Anolis sagrei: one gene and its partners. The protein of the gene in region 2 purifies or fractionates together with the protein of the main gene of each other region. This does not show direct contact. Links are inferred from orthologs where the notes say so. Each region holds a gene or a part of one and is shown on either strand. Other genes may lie near its edges.

Region 1 (7,809 bases), about 33 Mb from region 2:
AGCTGGAGGTCCACTGTTTGAGGATGTCTAGTTTATCTCCTTCTGTTTTGAGTTATAAGTAGCTCACATTTACGGTACAGCATATTAAAAACCAACAAACATTTTATTTACAAAGCACATGGAAATAAAAAAGATTCACTTGTCAGTTTGGTTTTCATTTCCCTTTTGTGTAGCTCTCAACATCTATCCGCCTCCAAAAAAAACCTCTTCAAAGCCACTGCATCCAAAGTTGGTTGGGCAATTAAAAAACCCCACTACTGTTTTTGGGGATCTCTAGAAGTGGCAGCTTTGTATTAATACCACCACACTATCGCAACAAACCCAGCACTGATTTCACATTACAATTCTCAGACCAAAATCAAGACTCCTGCCCATACTGACCAACCTGATCTAAGTCTTGATCATTTCATAACATGGATAGGTGCAGAAAAAATACATTTAAAAACCCACTGCACTGATTTCAATGGTAACATAAATGATCTGGGTCCTCCATGAATTAAGAAGTAGATATATGTAATATCATACCAGTGTTTATGTCAATATTCACACATTAACAGACAAATCATAGATTAATTACTATGATTCTGCATCCAATTCAAATACAGGCAGTCCCCGAGTTACAAACATCCGACTTACTAATGACTCATAGTTAAGGATGGGGGAGAGACAAGAGGAAATGAGAGAAATGTACCCCTTGGATTGGAAATTCACTCCTGAAAGAGTTATCATGGGGAAAAGGGCTCTCCACTGTTTTCACAACAAGCCAATTTTTTTTTAAAATCCAATTATCACAAAAAGTTTGGGGAGAACTGGATTGGGTATTCAATAATGCACTGAGTTGTGCATCATTGTATTCCGCAGACTGCAGCTTTTACTGTTGCCTACTGAATTTGCCCATTCCTCAATGGTGAGTTTTTCTCAACCTGTACAGTGCTCCTACTCTTAAGTGAATGTCATTTCCTGAATTCAAATCAATGTCATAAATAAATACACAACAGGTAGGTTTCAGATTAAATAAATAAGTGCTACTTAGCCCCAATTACTAATACAATGCATCACATCTACTTATTATTCCTTAATATCACCACAAAGTTCCTCCTATCTTTATACAGTTAGACCTTGAACACATAAAATACGCTGTACAAATCAATTCACAGTACATGAAGACATGTGCATGCTTCTGAAGAAATTATATAATATTATATTTTCATATGGACTAAATACAAAGTTAAGTCTACATTGCAATCACTAAATGTCTTTATTTGAAAAGTCGAATTGGCTTTTCTCCATATCTGGAGAGAACTGCAGAATAGTTTGATTCTAAGCATTTGTATTCAACTGTAGGTTTGTTTTATTTCAAAACCGACATATCATCAGGTAAGAATCCCTTCTCTGGAACTGGAATTCTGAAATACTCCAAAACCAAAACCTATTCACATGGGTGGCTGAGATACTGTGGCCTTTTGCCTTCTGGTGGTTTAATATACAAAGTTTGTTCTATTAAAAAAATTACTAAAAATACTGTACATAAAATCACCTTTGGGCCATGTGAATAAGGTGTGTACGAAATGTAAATTAATTTTATGTTTAGATTTGGGTTCCACCTGAAAGATGCCCCATTATGTGTATGCAAGTATCCTAAAATTCCAAACACTTCTGGGCCCAAGTACTTCAGATACGGGATATTCAACCCGTAGTACACAATCTGTTATTGCTCAAGCAGAGGGGGCCTGGTTAGTACTTCCTGAGAACTCATCAGCTTTTCGGGAATCCATAAATTCATTCCACATTGTCAAATCCTATCCATTCCAGTCATTGTTGTCCTTTGTCTATCTGCCAGATCACCCAAAGGCCTGGTCCCACGTCCATGTTTTTAGCTTCCTTCTAAAGGAGAGGAGGGATGTCGATGACCTAATTTCCCCAGGAAGTGAATTCCACTGGTGAGGGGCCACCACCGAGAAGGCCCTGCTCCTCGTCCCCACCAATCTCATTTGTGATAGAGGTGGAGCCGAGAGCAGGGCCTCCCCAGAAGATCTCAAACTTCAAAGCGGGACGTAGAAGGAGATGCATTCAGACAGATACGCTGGGCCGGAACCGTATAGGGTTTTGTAGGTCAAAACCAGCACTTTGAGTTATGTATTGTCGAAGGCTTTCATGGCTGGAATCACTCAGTTCTTGTGGGTTTTTTCGGGCTATATGGCCATGTTCTAGAGGCATTTCTCCTGACGTTTCGCCTGCATCTATGGCAAGCATCCTCAGAGGTGAGGTCTTTGAGTTATGCTCGGAACTGGATTGGCAGCCAGTGGAGCTGACATAACAGAGGGGTGGTATGCTCCCTGTATGACGCTCTGGGGAGTAATCTGTCTGCCGCCCACTGGACTAGTTGAAGTTTCCGAACAATATTCAAAGGCCACCCCACGTAGAGTGTGTTGCAGTAATCTATTCGGGATGTAACAAGAGCGTAGACCACTGTGGCCAGATCTGACTTCCCAAGTTTAGTGAGGCATCATCACTCTGTGGCAGATAAGGCCAAATACCTTGTCAAACTACAACTCCCAAGATTACACAGCATTGAGCCAGGCAGTTTAAAGTGGTATCCAACAGTATTAATTTGTCAGTGTGGTTGCATTTGTGTAACTAAACAACTGAATAAATGCAGACTTACCAAATTCCCACTGGTATATTTTGGGTTGCGGTTAACAATATGGATTTAGGCCTGGAAATAACCCTCTCTCCCCCTCCCTTTTGAAATAAGTTCAAAGTTGTCCTTGTGGTCAGTGAGATGAAAGACTGGAGCTCCCATTAGGAAGAGAGGAGGAGCTCATTGTGGGGCAATGGCTCCCTTTTTCATAGAGAGGGAAAGACGCAGGAGAGAGACACTCCAGAGCGAGGGAATGAAGATTCAAATTTCTCAGGAGGAGAGAGAGAGAGAGAGAGAGAGAAAAAAGAGTCTCTCAACACAAGTGCCTCACTTCCGTTCACGCTCTGGCAGACACCGGAAGCTGCAACCGACTCCTTCATCCGTTACGTGCGGTCTAAGAAGCCCCGTTGATAGTGTTTGGGGGCGGACTTGGAGCCCCGCCCCTTCGCCGCCGCTTCTGTCTCTCTGTGGTTACCGCCGCCTAGAGTGGCCGCCTGTGACGTCACGTCCTCTGTTCCTGAGGTTGAGAGGCCAGTGGTGTTGAGGCGCTTCAGGTGAGAGGGTGGGAAGTGCTTGCTCCACAAGTTACCTTTTCCTTCCTTTGAAAAATCCATAGGCAGGCAAGTGGCCACAAGTATCCACATAGGGAAGTCAGGATGCATTTACACAAGGCATGGGGAAACTTGGGCCCTCCAGGTGTTTTGGACTTCAACTCCCACAATTCCTAACAGCCTCAGGCCCCTTCCTTCGCTTAAGCTTCTGAGGGGGGAAAGGAAAGGGCCTGAGGCTGTTAGGAATTGTGGGAGTTGAAGTCCAAAACACCTGGAGGGCCCAAGTTTCCCTATGCCTTGTGTAAATGCAGCTTGACATCAATTAACTGTAATAGTTAAGTGCTCAGATGTACCAGTCCTATGTTTTCTATTTCTAATCATGCTACCCATGCTCTATTCTGCCTTGGTTAGACTACACCTGGAATAGTGTGTCCAATTCTGGGCACCACAATTCAAGAGAGATCTTGACAAGCTGGAATGTGTCCAGAGGAGGGCGACTAAAATGATCAAGGGTCTGGAGAACAAGCCCTATGAGGAGCAGCTTAAAGAGCTGGGCTTCTTTAGCCTGAAGACGAAAAGTCTGAGAGGAGACATGAAAGCCATGTATAAATACGTGAGAGGAAGTCATAGAGAGGAGGGAGAAAGCTTGTTTTCTGCTGCTCTGGAGACTAGGATGCGGAACAATGACTTCAAACTACAAGAAAGGAGATTCCATCTGAACATTAGGAAGAACTTCCTGACTGTGAGAGCCGTTCAGCAATGGAACTCTCTGCCCCGGAGTGTGGTGGAGGCTCCTTTAGAAGCTTTTAAACAGAGGCTGGATGACCAGTGAGATGAAACACAGTAGTTTATTGTAGATATGTAGATATTGACAAGCTGGAATGTGTCCAGAGGAGGGCGACTAAAATGATCAAGGGTCTGGAGAACAAGTCCTATGAGGAGTGGCTTAAAGAGCTGGGCATCTTTAGCCTGAAGACGAAAAGTCTGAGAGGAGACATGATAGCCATGTATAAATACGTGTGAGGAAGTCATAGGGAGAAGGGAGCAAGCTTGTTTTCTGCTGCTCTGGAGACTAGGACATGGAATTATGGCTTAAAACTACAAGAAAGGAGATTCCATCTGAACATCTCCAGCTCATCCCTTGTTTGGGTATCAGCCAGCACGTCAACGACTTAAATCAAGACATAGTTTTCTAAGATCTACAGACACTCGCTGGAACACCTCAGCAAGCGAGAGTCCAAAAGTGGCAGGCTCAAACCCAGAACCTCAATCAATGGCTGATACCAAATGAGAGACTCCCCCCTGGGCACACAGAAAACTGGGCGACTTGGTAGGCGCTGAACAGACTGTGTTCTGGCACCACAAGATGCAGAGTCAATCTTAAGAAATGGGGCTACAAAGTGGAATCCACGACATGCGAGTGTGGAGAAGAGTAAACCACAGACCACCTGCTGCAATGCAACCTGAGCCCCGCCACATGCACAATGGAGGACCTCCTTGCAGCAACACCAGAGGCAGTCCAAGTGGCCAGCTACTGGTCAAAGGACATTTAATCAGCTACCAAGCTTGCAAACTTTGTTTTGTCTGTTTGTTAAAAGTTTGTTAAAAATGTAATACAATTGTTTGGTTGATACTGACACGATAAATAAATAAGTAAATAAATCTGAACATTAGGAAGAACTTCCTGACTGTGAGAGCCATTCAGCAGTGGAACTCTCTGCCCCGGAGTCTGGTGGAGGCCCCTTCTTTGGAAGCTTTTAAACAGAGGTTGGATGACCAGTCGGGGGTGCTTTGAATGTAATATTCCTACTTCTTGGCAAGGGGGTTGCACTGGATGGCCCACGAGGTCTCTTCCAACTCTATGATTCTATGATTCTATTCCTTATGAGCCACCCTGTAAGGCTACTACTCAGTGGAATTATCTTATTGGTATCATTCTCGTAATAAATAGGGAGGGATCTGCGGGAATCAAAAATCTGTATTCACAAAAAGTTTTTGATACTGCCACCAAAGACCCTAAGTAAACTTACCACATATGGAACAACGGGGCAGACATCTTTATAGATGGTAACTCGTCGAAAAAATGGAAAGCATATAAAAATGGAGATGAAAGATAGTGTTGGTATTTCCCAGGAATCTATAATAAGCTTTTTCCATGTATGTTTCATTTACATAACCATGAGTTCCTATGAAGGAATGTATTTAGGAGAATCATAGAGTTGGAAAGACCGCATGGACCACCTAGTCTAAACTCTTGCCATGCAGGAAAAGCACAATCAAAATACCCCCAACAGATGACCATTCAGCCTCTGTTTAAGAGCCTCCAATGAAGAAGCTTCCACTACACTCCGAGGCAGAGAGTTCCACTGCTGAACAGCTCTTAACAGTCAGGAAATTCTTTTTAATGTTTATGTAAAATAACCTCTACTGTAATTTGAACCCACAGCTCCAAGTCCTATTCTCCAGGGCAGCAGAAAACAATCCTGCTCCCTCTTCCTTATAGCATCTTTTCAAATATTTAAATATGGTGATCATGTCTTCTCTCAGTCTTCACTTCTACATGAAGCCGCTGGAGGAGATAATTCAGAGTACAATGTTCTCCGAGCTCAATACAAAGTGCTGGTTTTGACCTATAAAGCCCTATACGGTTCTGGCCCAGCTTACTTGTCCGAACACATCTCCCTCTACGTCCCGCCTCTCAGTTTAAGATCATCCGGGGAGGCCCTGCTCTTGCTCCCGCCAACGTCACAAATATGTCTGGAGGGAACAAGAGACAGGGCCTTCTCGGCTGTGGCCCCCTATCAATGGAACTCGCTTCCCACTGAGGTAAGATCTGCTCCATCCCTCCTGTCATTTAGGAAGAAATGGAAGTTGTGGTTCTGGGACCAGGCTTTTGGACAACAGGCATAGATAGCACTTTGGACATGGAATTGGATATGGAATTGACTGGAACGATGTTACGGCTATTAATACTGTTTTTTACTGTTTTAATGAATGTTTTACTTATTGTTTTAATTGTTATTCTATTGCTGTGTTATATGTAGTGGCATTGAATTGCTGCCAGATGTAAGCTGTCCTGAGTTCCCCTTTGCGGGTTGAGAAGGAATGGGATAGAAATACCGGAAATAAATAAATAAATAAATTCACTTCTGAAGGCCCAGTTCATGGTCTCCAGACTTGATCATTTTAGTCACCCTCCTCTGGACACATTCCAGAAAGATAAACGACTAGTAAAACATTTATTTTTATTTTGTATCAAAAGCATTGCATAAATTAGTATAAAACTGATAAAAATAGGAGCACAAGAAGCTAAATATGTTTTGACCAAAAAAGGACAACAACAACAACAACGGCATTGTCTGTAGCCTCCAACACTTCTTCCTCTGTACATGAGGCAGTAAAACATCAATGCTATGCACCACAAATCTTATTCATTCTCTTTAAAGCAAAGATGGACAGTGAGGTACAGAGGGATGGGAGGATCCTAGATTTGATTGACGATGCATGGAGAGAAGATAAATTACCGTATGAAGATGTGGCAATCCCATTGGTAAGTAAATATTCCAGGTATGACTCTGAATTGATATTCCCCATCCTTTTTATTTACAACCATATATTTTACCATTCGTCCAAACCGCTCCCAGTGCTTATTGCAACAATAAGTTCTAATATTGTAAACCACCGTATTTCCCATGCTGTGAGAAAGGTGACATCGAAATTTCAAAGATAAATAATCTTTAAAAAAACTAAAAAACCTTAATAAATTAACCAAAACAAAACCGTAGTGGCAGTGCAGATGAATGAACGTGTGGATAGTTCATAAGTAGAGCCTAGATCTATTTCAGTTTCATTCCCAGATCGGCGCATTTTACTTCTCACTACATCTCATAAGAAATGCATAGTGGCTTTCAAGATTACTGTGTGTGTACATATAGAACTTTTGTCAGCAAGCCACTGCAGATGAATTCTAAGAATGTTTACTCAAAAGATTTTCTTTGTTTGTGATTATTTTGTTCTATGTGTTCCTATGTTCATCAGTGCAAAGATGTTTTTCTCAGCATTTTAAAACAGTTTTAATATATTTCTGCACCCAGAATGAGCTTCCTGAACCAGAGCAAGACAATGGTGGAACAACAGAATCAGTAAAAGAACAAGAAATGAAATGGTCTGACTTGGCTTTGCAATATCTTCATGAGAATATTCCTCCAACAGGAAACTAGTCTATTGTCAATGTCTCGTGCAGCAATTTCTCTGCAAATGTATTTCTTATTGTTCTTTTCAGCCTTCTTTGCTATGGAAGGAAGGTGTATGTGGAAAATGTCTAGGCTTAAATCACAAGAAATTATTGTCATAGGTCCTTTGCTACTGACGCAATTCCTATCAATGCTTAAAGGATATCACAATTGGCACACACTAAAAACGCTCCAGGTATCCATTTTTAATAATATATATTACTATTATGCTCTTTGCTATGAACCACAAAGCTGAAGTCTGATCACAGGAATATTAAACAATGACCAAACTAGGTGGTAGTTGTCAGCTCAGTTTGGCATTTGAATTTCATTTTTAATTTATTTTTGTGTGAATAGGTAAAACTTGCCAAGTGAAACTGTTTTC
Region 2 (7,758 bases):
AAACGTATTTTCCCTCTTTTTTATAGTAATTTTTATTGTTTACTAGCTGTACCCACCACGCATTGCTGTGGCCAACCTTCCCTCCCTCTTTCTCTCCTTTCTTCACTCTCTCTTTACTTCCTTCCCTCTTTTTCTTTCCCTTCTTCTTTCTTCCTTCTCTACATTTTTCTTTCCTCCCTTCCTTTGCTCTCGAGTTCCATCCTTCTCTCTTTTCTTCCTTCCTTCCCTCTTTCTGTCTTTCATCCCTTCTCTCCTTCCTTCTCTCTTTCTTTCCTTTCTTCTATCACTTTATTTCCTTCTGTCCTCCCCCTTCTGTATATATGTTGTGTGTGTGTGTGTGTATATATATATGCATATATGTTTATATATATTTGTGTATATGTATATAATGTGTGTTTATGTATATATGTGTTTTTGTGCATGCGTTGTAATGTATTTTTTTTAATTATTATTATTTTGGCTTTTTAAATTCTCTTCCACTGTGTTTTTCAGTGTTTTTATGAGTGATGGCCACTAATTGGCCTGACAGATGTATTGTGTCCAAATTTGGTGTCAGTTTGTCCAGTGCATTTTGCGTTATATTAATCCCACAAACATACATTACATTTTTATTTATATAGATATATAGAGGGTTCAGTGTTTTAATGAGTGATGGACACTCATTGGCCCGATAGATGTATTGTATCCAAATTTGGTGTCAGTTTGCCCAGTGCTTTTTGAGTTATGTGAATTTCACAAACATACATTACATTTTTATTTATATAGATATATAGAGGGTTCAGTGTTTTATGAGTAATGGCCACTCATTGAGTCCAAATTTGGTGTCAGTTCGTCCAGTGCTTTTTGAGTTATATTAATTCCACAAACATACATTACATTTATATAGATAGAGGGTTCAGTGTTTTTATGAGTGATGGCCACTCATTGGCCTGATAGATGTATTGTGTCCAAATTTAGTGTCAGTTTGCCCAGTGCTTTTTGAGTTATATTAATCCCACACACGTACATTACATTTTTATTTATATAGATACATATAGATATAGAGGGATTGCCTGACTTAATATTGTGGGGAATATAATATATTCACAAACTCCTCAAACACAGCCCAAAACTTGTTTTCCCTCTTTGTTTTTTATAATAATTTCTATTGTGTATATTACTTCCTTCCTCTCCTTATGTATCTTATGTTTAGTCCCTATGTTCTGTGTATATTGTTTTATATGCTTTGATGTTTTATTTTAATGTTATGTTGTTTATTTTATTGCAATTTGTATTCATAGAATCATAGAATCAAAGAGTTGGAAGAGGCTCATGGGCCATCCAGTCCAACCCCCCTGCCAAGAAGCAGGAATATTGCATTCAAATCACCCCTTACAGATGGCCATCCAGCCTCTGTTTAAAAAGAAGGAACCTCCACCACACTCCAGGGTAGAGAGTTCCACTGCTGAACGGCTCTCACAATCAGGAAGTTCTTCCTCATGTTCAGATGGAATCTCCTCTCTTGTAGTTTGAAGTCATAGTTCCGCGTCCTAGTCTCCAAGGAAGCAGAAAACAAGCTTGCTCCCTCTCACATATTTATACATGGCTATCATATCTCCTCTCATTTGAGCTAAGCATGCCCAGCTCCTTAAGCCACTCCTCATGGGGCTTGTTCTCCAGACCCTTGACCATTTTAGTCGCCCTCCTCTGGACACCTTCCAGCTTGTCCCTATCTCTCTTGAATTGTGGTGCCCAGAATTGGACACAATATTCCAGGTGTGGTCTAACCAAAGCGGAATAGAGGGGTAGCATGACTTCCCTAGATCTAGACACTATGCTCCTATTGATGCACATACTTCTGACTTGCCTTTCTCCTATTTTCCATCCAAATCAAAGCAGTATTGTTATATTTTAATTCTTGTTCGGGTTAAGCCCCATGTAAGCCGCTCCGAGTCCCCATTGAGGAGATGGTGGCAGGGTACAAATAAAGTTTATTATTATTATGTATCTAAATATAGACATTGAGAGAGGGACATACACGCCTTACCTGGCTTAATGTTGTTTTTCTTAGGGGGGGATACAATGTATTGATAAAGTGGGCTTTTCTACCAACACAATAAAGTTTATTATTATTATTATTATTATTATTATTATTATGTATCTAAATATAGACATTGAGAGAGGGACATACACGCCTTACCTGGCTTAATGTTGTTGTTTTTTAGGGGAGATACAATGTATTGATGAAGTGGGCTTTTCTACCAACACAATAAAGTTTATTATTATTTTTATTACTACCAACACAATAAAGTTTATTATTATTATGTATCTAAACATAGACATTGAGAGAGGGACATACACGCCTTACCTGGCTTAATGTTATTTTTTTTAGGGGGGATACAATGTATTGATGAAAAGGGGTTTTCTACCAACACAAACAAAGCCCCAAACTTATAGAGGCATGGGCAGGTTCGGGCCCTCCCTCAAGGGGGTTTGGACTCCAACTCCCACCATTCCTAACAGCCTCAGGCCCCTTCCTTTTCCCCCTCAGCCGCTTAAGCGGCTGAAGGGGAAAAGGAAGGGGCCTGAATCTGTTAGGAATGGTGGGAGTTGGAGTCCCAAACCCGCTGAGGGAGGGCCCGAGCCTGCCCATGCCTGTTGTAGCTCCCCATGAGGGTTGAGGGCGGGCGGGCGAGCGAGGCCTTACCTTGTAGAAGGCCCCGTTGGAGCCGCGCACTTCCACCGCCAGCTCCTCCATGTTGGGGCCGCAAAGGACGCTGGGACGGGCTTCTCGAAGCGATCCCCACCTGAGGGGGAGGGGGAGGAGGGAGGAGCGGGAGGGGAGGGGGGAAGGGAGGAAGGAAGGAGAGAAGGAAGGCCAAGCAACCCTCGGGGTGCCCCCTCCTCACACCCGGCTGGGGGGAGGAGGAGGAGGAGGAGGAGGAGGGAGGGGGGAAGAGGAGGAGGAGGAGCGGCGCAAGCGAGGGGGCGGGGCTTCTTCTTCTTCTTCTCCCACCTCCGCCTGCCTCAGTCTCTGGCGGCGGGTCACAGGCGCGGAGGGATCTTCTTTTTTTCTCTGTGCGTGTGTGTGTCGTCCTACACCGACCTTCGAATCCTTCCGCTGTGCGCATGCGCCCTGCCTCGCTCCTGCGCGCGCGCCCAACGGCAAAGCTCTCCGCGCTTCTTTCTTTCTTCCCTTCCTTCCTTTGCTTCTTCATTCGCCTCAGAGGGCGAAGGCGGGGTGGGTGTGTTTCCTATTAGTCTCCACAGTTTCCTATTAGTCTCCACAGAGTCTCCTATTAGTCTCCTATTAGTACACTAATACTCCTAACAATATATTACTAATACTGATATATTAATAATATAAAAATACTTACTATTATTTGTGGGATTAAAGGTAGGTAGGTAGTCCCCTGACATTAAGTCCAGTCATGTCTGACTCTGGGGTGTGGTGCTCATCTCCATTTCTAAGCCGAAGAGCCAGCGCTGTCCGTAGACACCTCCAAGGTCATGTGGCCGGCATGACTGCATGGAGCGCCGTTATCTTCCCGCCGGAGCGGTACCTATTGATCTACTCACATTTGCATGTTTTCGAACTGCTAGGTTGGCAGAAGCTAGGGCTGACAGCGGAAGCTCACGCCGCTCCCCGGAATCGAACCTGCGACCTTTCGCTCAACAAGCTCAGCAGCTCAGTGCTTTAACCCACTGCGCCACCGGGGGCTCCATTTGTGGGATTAACATAACTCAAAAACCACTGGACGAATTGACACCAAATGTGGACACCTCTCAGGCCAACGAGTGACCGTCACTCACAAAAAAACATTCTGATCAAAAGGTCACGAGTTCAAAGCCAGCCCGGGTCGGAGTGAGCTTCCGACCAGTTGTGTAGCTTGTTGTCGACCTTTGCAACCCGAAAGATAGTTGCATCTGTCAAGTGCACTTCCACCGGGAAGTGGCAGCCAATAGTGAAAGGACCAAGGCAGAGACATCAGTTCATCGCCTGTTTGGATATCAGCCAAAAAAGAGAAAGGGAGTTTCAGAAAAAACATCTATTTCTGTTTCATTGACTATTCTAAAGCCTTTAACTGTGTGGATCATAATAAATTGTTCTTGGTGGGATGGGCATCCCAAGCCACCTTGCCTCTCTCCTGAGGAATCTGTACAAGGACCAAGTAGCAACAGTAAGAACGGACCACGGAACAACAGACTGGTTCAAGATTGGGAAAAGCGTACGGCAAGGCTGCATCCTCTCACCCAACCTTTTTAACTTGTATGCAGAACACATCATGCGATGTGCGGGGCTTGATGAATGCAAATCTGGGGTGAAAATTGCTGGAAGAAACATTAACAACTTCAGATATGCAGATGACACCACTCTGATGGCCGAAAGCGAGGAGGAGCTGAGGAGCCTTTTAATCAAGGTGAAAGAAGAAAGCGCAAAAGCTGGGTTGCAGCTAAACATCAAAAAAACCAAGATCATGGCAACAAGAATGATTGACAACTGGGAAATAGAGGGAGAAAATGTGGAGGCCGTGACAGACTTTGTATTTCTAGGTGCAAAGATGACTGCAGATGCAGACTGTGGCCAGGAAATCAGAAGACGCTTACTTCTTGGGAGGAGAGCAATGTCCAATCTCGATAAAATAGTAAAGAGTAGAGACATTTATTATTTATTTATTTATTTATTAGATGCACTTATTGACCGCCATTCTCAGCCCTTACGGGCGACTCATGGCGGTGTACAGTACACATAAAAAGACAGTTACAGAGGCCAGTATCAACAACATATGACTATACAACAAATACAAACTACATAAAAATCCGCTTCGTCTCTTAATAGAATCATAGCCAGTCTCATTTTCCTTATACCATTCCAGTTCTCATTACCGTAATGTTGTTGCTTAGCACTTAATTAAATGCCCTCTCGAACAGCCAGGTCTTAAGGCTTTTTCGAAAGGACATGAGGGAGGGCGCCTGTCTGATGTGTGCCGGGAGAGTGTTCCACAGCCGGGGGGCCACCACCGAGAAGGCCCTCTCCCTCGTCCCCGCCAGCCGTGCCTGTGATGCAGGCGGGATCGAGAGAAGGGCCTCCCCAGACGATCTCAAGGTCCTCGTGGGCTCGTAGGCCAAGATGCGGTCAGAAAGGTATTTTGGGCCGGAACCGTTTAGGGCTTTGTAGGCCAAGACCAGCACCTTGAATTGGGTCCGGTAGCAAATCGGCAGCCAGTGAAGCTGGGACAACAAGGGCGTTGTGTGCTCCCTGCTACCCGCTCCAGTTAGTAACATGGCTGCCGCACGCTGGACCAGCTGAAGCTTCCGGGCCGTCTTCAAGGGCAGCCCCACGTAGAGAGCGTTGCAGTAATCCAGGCGGGATGTGACAAGAGCGTGTACCACCGTGGCCAAGTCAGACTTCCCGAGATACGGGCGCAGCTGGCGCACAAGCCTAAGCTGTGCAAATGCTCCCCTGGTCACCGCTGAAACCTGGGGATCCAGGCTCAACGATGAGTCCAGGGTCACACCCAAGCTGCGAACCTGCGCCTTCAAGGGGAGTGCGACCCCGTCCAGCACAGGCTGTAACCCTATATCCCGTTCGGCCTTGCGACTGACCAGGAGTACCTCTGTCTTGTCTGGATTTAGTTTCAGTTTGTTCGCCCTCATCCAGACCGTTACAGCGGCCAGGCACCGGTTCAGGACCTCGACGGCCTCCTTAGTAGCAGGTGGGAAGGAGTGACAGAGTTGGACATCATCTGCGTACAGATGACACCGCACCCCGAAACTCCGGATGATCTCACCCAGCGGCTTCATGTAGATGTTAAATAGCATGGGGGACAGTATGGAACCCTGTGGCACCCCACAAGTCAAAGGTTGTGGTGCGGAACAGGAGTCCCCCAATGACACCTTCTGGGTGCGACCCTCCAGAAATGACCGGAGCCACCGCAAAGCAATGCCTCCAAGACCCATTTCCGCAAGGCGCCCCAGAAGGATACCGTGGTCGACGGTATCGAAGGCCGCTGAGAGGTCCAGGAGCACCAACAGGGACACACTCCCCCTGTCTAGCTCCCGGCGCAGATCATCCACTAAGGCGACCAAGACCGTCTCGGTACCATGCCCCGGTCTGAAACCAGACTGTGCCGGATCCAGATAATCCGTGTCTCTCAAGAATACCTGGAGTTGTGAGGCCACCACGCTTTCCATGACTTTGCCCAAAAAGGGGAGATTGGAAACAGGCCGAAAGTTGTCCAATTTAGTGGGGTCCAGTGATGGCTTCTTCAACAGCGGCTTTATAATAGCCTGTTTTAGGCTCGCTGGAATCTTGCCTTCCCGAAGGGAGGCATTCACCACCACTGTTACCCACTCGGCCAATCCCCCTCTGGCCTCTCTCAGAAGCCAGGATGGGCAGGGGTCTAGGATGGACGTGGTGGGCCTCATTCCTCCAAGTATCTTGTCCACATCCTCGGGTTTCACAAACTGAAAAGAATCCAACAAAATAGGACAAGCAGGTGCTCTCGTTACATCCACAGAGTCTGCATCTAACGCGGCGTCCAGCCCAGAACGGATCAAGGCGACTTTGTCTGCGAAGAACCGAGCAAATGCTTCACAGCGCGCGACCGAATTGTCAGGGCTCCCACCTGCAGAGGCGGGAGTTAAAAGACCTCTGACAATCCGAAACAGCTCCGCCGGACGGTTCTTTGCAGACGCAATAGTGGCCGCAAAGAAAGTTTTCTTTGCGGTCTTTATTGCCGCGGCATATGCCCTAAGAGAGGACACAAACCGTGCTCGGTTTGACTCGCTCGGTTCCGAACGCCACACGCTCTCTAGTTCCCTCTTCCTTCGCTTCATAGCTGCCAGCTCCTCAGTAAACCAAGGGGCTGGTTTAGCTCGGCTACTTGAGAGGGGACGTTCCGGAGCAATCATGTCAATAGCCCTGGTCATCTCCCCATTCCAGAGAGCCACCAAGGCTTCGACATGGTCACCTACCGAGGTGGCGGGAAAATCCCCAAGAGCCGTCAGGAAGCCATTCGGATCCATCAGTCTCCTGGGGCGGACCATCTTAATGGGTCCTCCACCTTTGCAGAGGTTAGGGGGCGCAGTGAGCCTAAATCTGATCAGGAAGTGGTCGGTCCATGGCAACGGAGAGATGGACAACTCCTCCACACCGCCACCCTGTTCCCATCCCTGACAGAAAACCAAATCCAATGTGTGTCCAGCACAGTGGGTGGGGCCAGATATTTGTTGGGACAGCCCCATGGTTGCCATGGCAGACATGAAGTCCTGAGCTGCGCCTGTGAGGGTTGTCTCGGCATGGACGTTGAAGTCTCCCAGCACAAGAAGCCGTTGAGACTTCAATGCCAGGCTCGAGACCACCCCCGCTAGCTCAGGTAGGGAGACTGTAGTGCAGCGAGGTGGACGGTACACTACTAGAATCCCTATACTGTCCCGGTCACCCACCCTCAGGTAGACGCTTTCGAAATTTGCGGTCTGCGGGATGGGGCACCTGGTCAGATGGATGGAGTCCCTATAGACCACTGCGACCCCGCCTCCCCGCCCTCCGGATCTAGGTTGGTGCTGCACGGAGAAACCCGGAGGACAAAGCTGGGTCAGATTTACTCCTCCAGCTTCATCCAACCAGGTCTCCGTGATGCACGCCAGATCTGCCCGTTCGTCCAGGATTAAGTCCTGGATCCAGGTCGTTTTTCCGTTGACAGATCTGGCGTTCAACAGCACCACCTTCAGACCGGAGGGTCCGCTCACCTGGTTACACCAATTTACCTTAGGAGA
Region 3 (6,956 bases), about 120 Mb from region 2:
GAAACATCTTAAAATCCTTGATGCCAGTGAAAAAAATATTAGGGTAAATGTGGAAATCCTTTAATCATATTTGGTATAAAACTCTCCTTGGCACTTGTATGGACTTCTATAAGGGAGGGGAACAGATTCCCAAGCAATTTTTAACTGCAACTTCCATTAGGCATGCCTATGACAGATAATGTTTAAGCGTTTATTCAATCAGTACTCCAAGACATATGGAGGTCCAAAGTTTCAAACCCATGATAAATTTGCATTTTACTCTTAGTTTTTGGAATATATATATATAACAATGGTGATCATTAAAGTAATAATTGCTACTGGCTAATGTAAAAAATATAGATCGGGTCAATGAGAAGGGCATTTTGAAAACCAATATTTGTTTTGGAATATTTAATAAAACCAATGTAAACAAGGGAGGAAAAGAAACATGTAAGTCTCAGTTGTAGAAGTATATTGTTTCTATTGTGCAAGTCCCAACTTCAAACTCTGACTTCTATTGAAAGAGAAGTAAAAGCCCTTTGCCTGAGAACCTGAAAAGTGCTTCCAGTAAAAATAGACAATATTGGATGTTATGGACTAATGGTTTGATCTGGTATCATCCAGCTGCCTGTAGATGTTAATTTTAAAACATTTTAAAGCAATAATTGTATAAAGCTATGAATAAAACTCTGTGTTTCTTAACTGTTAGTAGAGGAACATTTCCTCCAGAAAGCGACTTCACATATATGTTAGGATTCTTCTGGATACATAAGATCCTTTAATAGATTTTGATTACATAAAATCTGCATGAATGTCTTAGTGACTTGTAAACAGGAAATCAAATTACCTATCTGTATGGCTATATGAAGGAGATCTGATGCTACATTAGTCTGAGGCCAAGGGAGACAAGGAAGAACCCATGAATATTTCATGCCTCCTTTCCTTTAAAAAGCAGCAATAACTTACAGTTCTCCTTCTATTGCATTTTTTTTTACAAAGGTTCAAACATGGAATCCTGTTTTCCTATGTGGGAAAAATAAATCAAGCATTGCCAGGAATTTTTTTTAATTATCAGAAATTTTTGAAATTTGGTTGATAAAATAAGCTGGAAAAGCCCATTTTATTAGCTGATTAGACTTGTCGTTGCTTGGTATTTAATATATTGTTATGTGGTCATTTTGATACAGCGGGAGTAAAGAATTTACAAAAGTTTACCAGTGGTCATATTGAATAGCCTGACATTAATCATCATGTTCGATTATGCTTTCATAATCATATGCCAAAGGCTGTCTGCATTGTTTATATTTTATCATAACCATACTTTTCTACAAAGTAGGAAAGTTTTAATTTTAAAACATCATGTTATGCCATTATTTTTTTTATTGAACAGAATTCATTTAGTATGTAAGGTCCATAAGATCCTCTATTTTGAGAGGAGTCTCTGCCACTTTGTGACAGGAAAGCAGTCTAGTTCTGCCTTGCAAATTTTCTCTTGGAGGCCTTGCTTATTAGCATACTGGAAATGCTCTGGTGATGTTCTCATTTTATGCTTATTATATGGTTATGTAAATCTGTTTGTTCATTATTGAAAGACTCAATTGAAAACATTAATCTGATTTAGAGTAAAGCAATAGATGTCAAGTTAAAATTTCTTCTATGTGGCTGCTGCTTCACTGTAAAAAAAAACACTTTTCTTGCTTTACTGCAACAGCAAAGCAAAAACTCATGCTTTTAAAGTAAGGGAAAAGTCAAATAATATCTTCAGTCAAAGTAGGATTTGTGAAAATAGTGAACTTGGCAATACAAATAGATATTATTAATTGAAAAAATAAGCAAGTAACACCTACAGTTAGGTAATAACTGGAATGACATAAAGTATGCAAGACTTTTGGTTCTCTGGCACTCATCAGGCATAGTGGGACAGTGAGTAGGCAGGTAAAGAAACAAAGGAATCCCATAATAAGGGGCCATAAGAAGATATTGGTCATACATAACCAACACCAACCTGACAAAAGCACTTTGGAAACTTCTGAGTAGCATCCAAAAGCAGGTCCGCACAGAGCTCATACTGGCAATCCAAACAGGTGTAACTGGGACTAGTGGCTAGATTTGACATCTCAACAAATAAGTGCAGCTTGTTGTTCATTCGTTCAGTTGTTTCCGACTCTTTGTGACCTCATGGACCAGCCCACGCCAGAGCTCCCTGTCGGCCGTCACCACCCCCAGCTTCTTCAAGGTCAGTCCAGTCACTTCAAGGATGCCATCCATCCATCTTGCCCTTGGTCAGCCCCTCTTCCTTTTACCTTCCACTTTCCCCAGCATAATTGTCTTCTCTAGGCTTTGCTGTCTCCTCATGATGTGGCCAAAGTACTTCAACTTTGTCTCTAGTATCCTTCCCTCCAATGAGCAGCCAGGCTTTATTTCCTGGAGGATGGACTGGTTGGATATTCTCGCAGTCCAAGGCACTTCACGGTTTCGCTCATGACATCATTGAGGTGCTCAAGCTCCAGCGCCACGACAAGGAGGTGACCCTTTGCTGGAGCTAGCACAGTAATTTTAACTGTGTGAAGGCACTCCTGTCCACTGCTGAATGTGAGTTTTTGGGCTCATGACTGAATCCAGAAGTATGCTCAAGCTATGGACTATTTCTGGGCATAACCTGATTCATCTTTTGGTAACACCTCTATTTTGCCTGAATTAACCTTCAATATGTTTGCCGCCATTCATTCCATTGTTAAACATATTGATTTAGTGCCAAAATGAAATCTGCCCATGTGAAGCAGATAAATATAGCACTATACGGAAAATTGGAGCCCCCGGTGGCGCAGTGGGTTAAAGCACTGAGCTGCTGAGCTTATTGATCGAAAGGTCGCAGGTTCGATTCTGGGTAGCGGCGTGAGCTTCCTCTGTCAGCTCTAGCTTCTGCCAACCTAGCAGTTCGAAAACATGCAAATGTGAGTAGATCAATAGGTACCGCTGTCATAAACCTACACTTGTTGATAGATTCTATAAGCTAGCTGGCATTGCCCCCCCCCCCCCCCCGCCCGCCATGTGCAATGGGAAAATGCTGCCAATTGCAAGAAAAATAAGGTTGAACACTGTGAAAGCCGCCCACTGCATGGATATCAGCCTCCTTCCAGTAGACTTAAATCAAGGAAAAGTTAAATGAGAAGCACTACGCCTCTAAATGTTCCTCCAGCAGCAGCAATAACAGATAATATGGGATAAACACAAAATTAGGGACCGTATCCTGGGACATTGGGCCTGTCTGGGGCCCTTTCCAAACAGCAGCATAAGATCCCACACGATCTGCTTTGAACTGGGATATATGGCAGTGTGGACTCAGATAATCCAGTTCAAAGTAGATACTGTAGGATCTCCTGTCCTGATATTCTGGGTTCTATGGCTGGGTGGAAGGCCTTGTGGTCCATATTGCCATAGATTCCAATGCAAAGCCGATAATGTGGGATTGTATTCAGCTGTATGGAAGGGACCTCAGATATTTCAGTTCAAAGCAGACATTGTGGATTATTCTGCCTTGATATTCTGGGTTCCATGGCTGTGTGGAAAGGCCATAACAAAAAATAAATAAACCTTGAAAGAGACCACTAGCACGCCCATGCAGGAGAGAAAGTGCGATTTCTGACTGGAGCCTACTTTCGCCTGCGTTTTCTGAGGCGAGGACACAACGCGAAAGGCAGGGTCCCCGCGCATGCGCACAGCCAGCCAAGAGACGTTCCACGCGGGCAAGCCTTTCCCCGCCCTTTCCTAACAGCCGAATTAGCCGCCAGCGCGACAGTCCGGGGAACTCTATGGCGGAAGTGGGGAGGGCGCTCTTGCCGAGCTGGCTTCCGGTAGCGTGTGAGAGGCGGCTTGGCGGGGGAAGGGAGGGGCGGGGAAGGGAAGGGAAGGGAAGGGGCGCTGTGGTCGGGGCGGAGGCGGGGCCGAGGCCGAGGCCTCCTCTGCGCCGGGCGCCACCTGGGCCTCCCCCGAAAGGCCTCTCCCCCGCGGAAAGAACTTCGTGAAGGAGGAAAAGGAGGAGAGGAAGAAGAAGAGGAGGAGGGACCATGGCTGACGGCGCCGCCTCGACCCTCGCCGAGTCCGGCTGGTGAGGGAGGGAAGCGCCGCAGAGGAGAGGAGGGAGGGGGTTGCTTTGCGTTCTCCCTCTCGGCGCCCTTTTGTATACATGGCCGTCTCCCTTTGTAGACGGAGCAGCCTTGGCTCGCTCAGCAGAGGCCCTCAAACCACCCTTCCCTTGGCCTTGGCCCTCTCGCCTGCATCACAACTGTGGTGGTTGTCCTAAAGTTGGGAAATTTACACTCCCCTCTGCACTGAGATAGTGACACTTGGGGTTCCCAACGCCACAGGCCTCGTTACAATGACAGCATTATTTTACAGCCGTGTATACAATTACACTTGTGTGTATGGGGAACATCTATGGCTTTCGCGTGTAGACTTCGGCCTCCTCTCCAAAATATCGCGGGATGTTTAATCTCGTGGTGCAATAGTACAATGACAATAAAGCTATTCTATTCTATATACCAATAATAATACAATATAATAATTTTGTGTTTCATCTATATAAATAAAAATGTAATGTTCGTTTATGGGATTAACATAACTCAAAAACCACTGGACGAATTGACACCAAATTTGGAGACAATACACCTCTAACAACCCAATGAGTGACCATCACTCATAAAAGCACTGAAACACACAGCAGAAGAGAATTAAAAAACCAAAACACAGAAAATGCATTACAACGCATGCGCAAAACCACATATATACACAAGCACACATATCTACAATACACCGAACAACCCAATGAGTGACCATCGCTCATAAAAGCTCCCGGTGACGCAGTGGGTTAAACCCCTGTACCGGCAGGACTGAAGACCGACAGGTTGCAGGTTCGAATCTGGGGAGAGGCGGGTGAGCTCCCTCTATCAGCTCCAGTTCCTCATGCAGGGACATGAGAGAAGCCTCCAACAAGGATGATAAACATATCATCCGGGCGTCCCCTGGGCAACGTCCTTGCAGACGGCCAATTCTCTCACACCAGAAGCGACTTGCAGTGTCTCAAGTCGCTCCTGACAAAAAATAAAAACTCATAAAAGCACTGAAAAACACAGCAGAAGGGACTTAATAAGCCAATAAATAAATAAAATAAAAAAACACATTACAATGCATGCACAAAACCACATATACACAAATATATACACACACACATATACACACACAGATTACATATACATAGACTGGGCCACAGTAACGCGTAGCAGGGGATGGCTAGTATTACTAACAATATTACAGTATAGTGATATAGTACAATACAGTAATATATAATATTAATATTGTACTATTCTAATAATATATTGTATGTACATATAACTTGTAAGCCACTCTGAGTCTCTTTTGGAGTGAGAAGGGCAGCATGTAAATGTCATAAATAAAATAAATATATGCAAAGATATATATCCTAAATTCTAAAACGCTTCTGTAATCCCTTTTTGTTTTGTTTTGTAATCCTTTTAATTTCAGCACATGTTTTAACTGTTACATATTTTTGCCTATCAGTGACAACCTTCTGAATTTTATTAATATTTATTATTGTGTGAGTTTAATGTTTGATTTGGTTTTATGTTTATTATTAGCTACAGTATGGTCTTGGTTATCCAACATAAACGGGTTGGCAGAATGATTTTACAAATTAAGCATCAAAACATCTTGTTTTACAACAAATGGACAGAAAAAGCAATTCAATACACGGTAATGTTATGTAGTAATTACTGTATTTACAAATTTAGCACCAAAACATTGCAATGTATTGAAACAGTTGTGGATCTGGGCGGGAGGCAGACGGTGTTGGATAATACAGAACATTGAATCAGCAAAGGTTGGATAAGCAAGACACTACTGTATATTGTGTTCTTCTGTTGTAAGCCGTCCCGTTATATAAATAATGTTGTTGCTGTTGTTGTTGTTATTATTCTGTTACCAAGAGTTTTTGAGAAGGGATACTCAGCGTCTCACTACACTTGAGCATTTCCCCCACTTTAGTCCACTTTAAATCCAGTTTCTGCCTCCTGCAGAACTCTGGAGCTTGTAGTTTAGGGCGACCCAGGGCTTCTTTGGCTGAGCAGTTTAAAGGCCCCTCTCTAAACTACAAATCCCAGAATTCTGCAGGAGGCAGTCACAGCATATAAAAACGCTCAAGTGTTATAAGGTCCTGAGTATCCCTTCTCCAAAACCCTTGGGAACAATAATAATAACAACTCTATTCTTATACCGCACCACCATCTCCCCAAAGGGACTCAGGACAGCTTACATATGGCTAAAAATGCCTACAAAACAAAAGAAAAGCAATCCATTAAAGCAAAACCACAATTAAAATAAGAGCATAGTAAAATATATCAAGATAAAAACAAATAAAAAAAGAATATAAAACATAAAACTGAAGTGTTTTGGATTTTAGGATAGTTAGATTTGCATATAAAATAGCTTTATTGTTATTGGGCCCTTCCAGACAGGCTCTGTATCCCAGGATCTGATCCAAGTTTTTCCGTTTATCCCAGATTATTTGGCAGTGTGGAGTCATATAATCCAGTTTAAAGCAGAAAACCTGGCATCAGATCCTGAGATATAGGTCCTGTCTGGAAGGGCCCATTGTACTATTGCACAAGGAATTTAATTGTGATGAGGCCCTCACATTGTAGTGCCAGAATCTTTTGTTTGATTCCTGAAGCAGACTGTCTAACCAAAATATACATTTACATAGCAATACCAGTATATGTGACTTTCTGTTGACAATGCAACGGGAACACAGACATGCCTGTCTCTTAAGGAATTTGCAACCTAAATTTTGGGCACAACAGGGTAAGGGAAGGGAGAGCATAATGTCTTCAACTAACGTATGCAGATGAAGCAACCACATGATTGCTGACCATATCCAGTTTGTGTTTCAGGCCTCTGTTCAA

What was found.
Region 1: the proteins of FXR1 (region 2) and CEP63 purify together in Homo sapiens (co-immunoprecipitation; 3 studies listed by BioGRID and IntAct, with this or other methods). This does not show direct contact. The link is inferred for Anolis sagrei from reciprocal best matches to the Homo sapiens genes FXR1 and CEP63.
Region 3: the proteins of FXR1 (region 2) and TDRD3 purify together in Homo sapiens (affinity purification with mass spectrometry; 3 studies listed by BioGRID and IntAct, with this or other methods). This does not show direct contact. The link is inferred for Anolis sagrei from reciprocal best matches to the Homo sapiens genes FXR1 and TDRD3.

The regions. Positions count from the first base shown.
Region 1 is NC_090023.1:225,698,431-225,706,239, forward strand, and holds the start of CEP63 (centrosomal protein of 63 kDa), read right to left. Parts: upstream 3,061-7,809; 5' UTR 2,973-3,060; intron 2,959-2,972; exon of another isoform or gene 2,666-2,958; intron 1-2,665. Other genes in the region: ANAPC13 (anaphase-promoting complex subunit 13), read left to right, coding at 6,644-6,742, 7,287-7,412. UniProt on the Homo sapiens protein: Required for normal spindle assembly.
Region 2 is NC_090023.1:258,304,488-258,312,245, reverse strand, and holds the start of FXR1 (RNA-binding protein FXR1), read right to left. Parts: upstream 3,033-7,758; 5' UTR 2,738-3,032; coding exon 2,687-2,737; intron 1-2,686. UniProt on the Homo sapiens protein: mRNA-binding protein that acts as a regulator of mRNAs translation and/or stability, and which is required for various processes, such as neurogenesis, muscle development and spermatogenesis.
Region 3 is NC_090023.1:136,662,781-136,669,736, reverse strand, and holds the start of TDRD3 (tudor domain-containing protein 3), read left to right. Parts: upstream 1-3,896; 5' UTR 3,897-4,046; coding exon 4,047-4,087; intron 4,088-6,956. UniProt on the Homo sapiens protein: Scaffolding protein that specifically recognizes and binds dimethylarginine-containing proteins. Plays a role in the regulation of translation of target mRNAs by binding Arg/Gly-rich motifs (GAR) in dimethylarginine-containing proteins.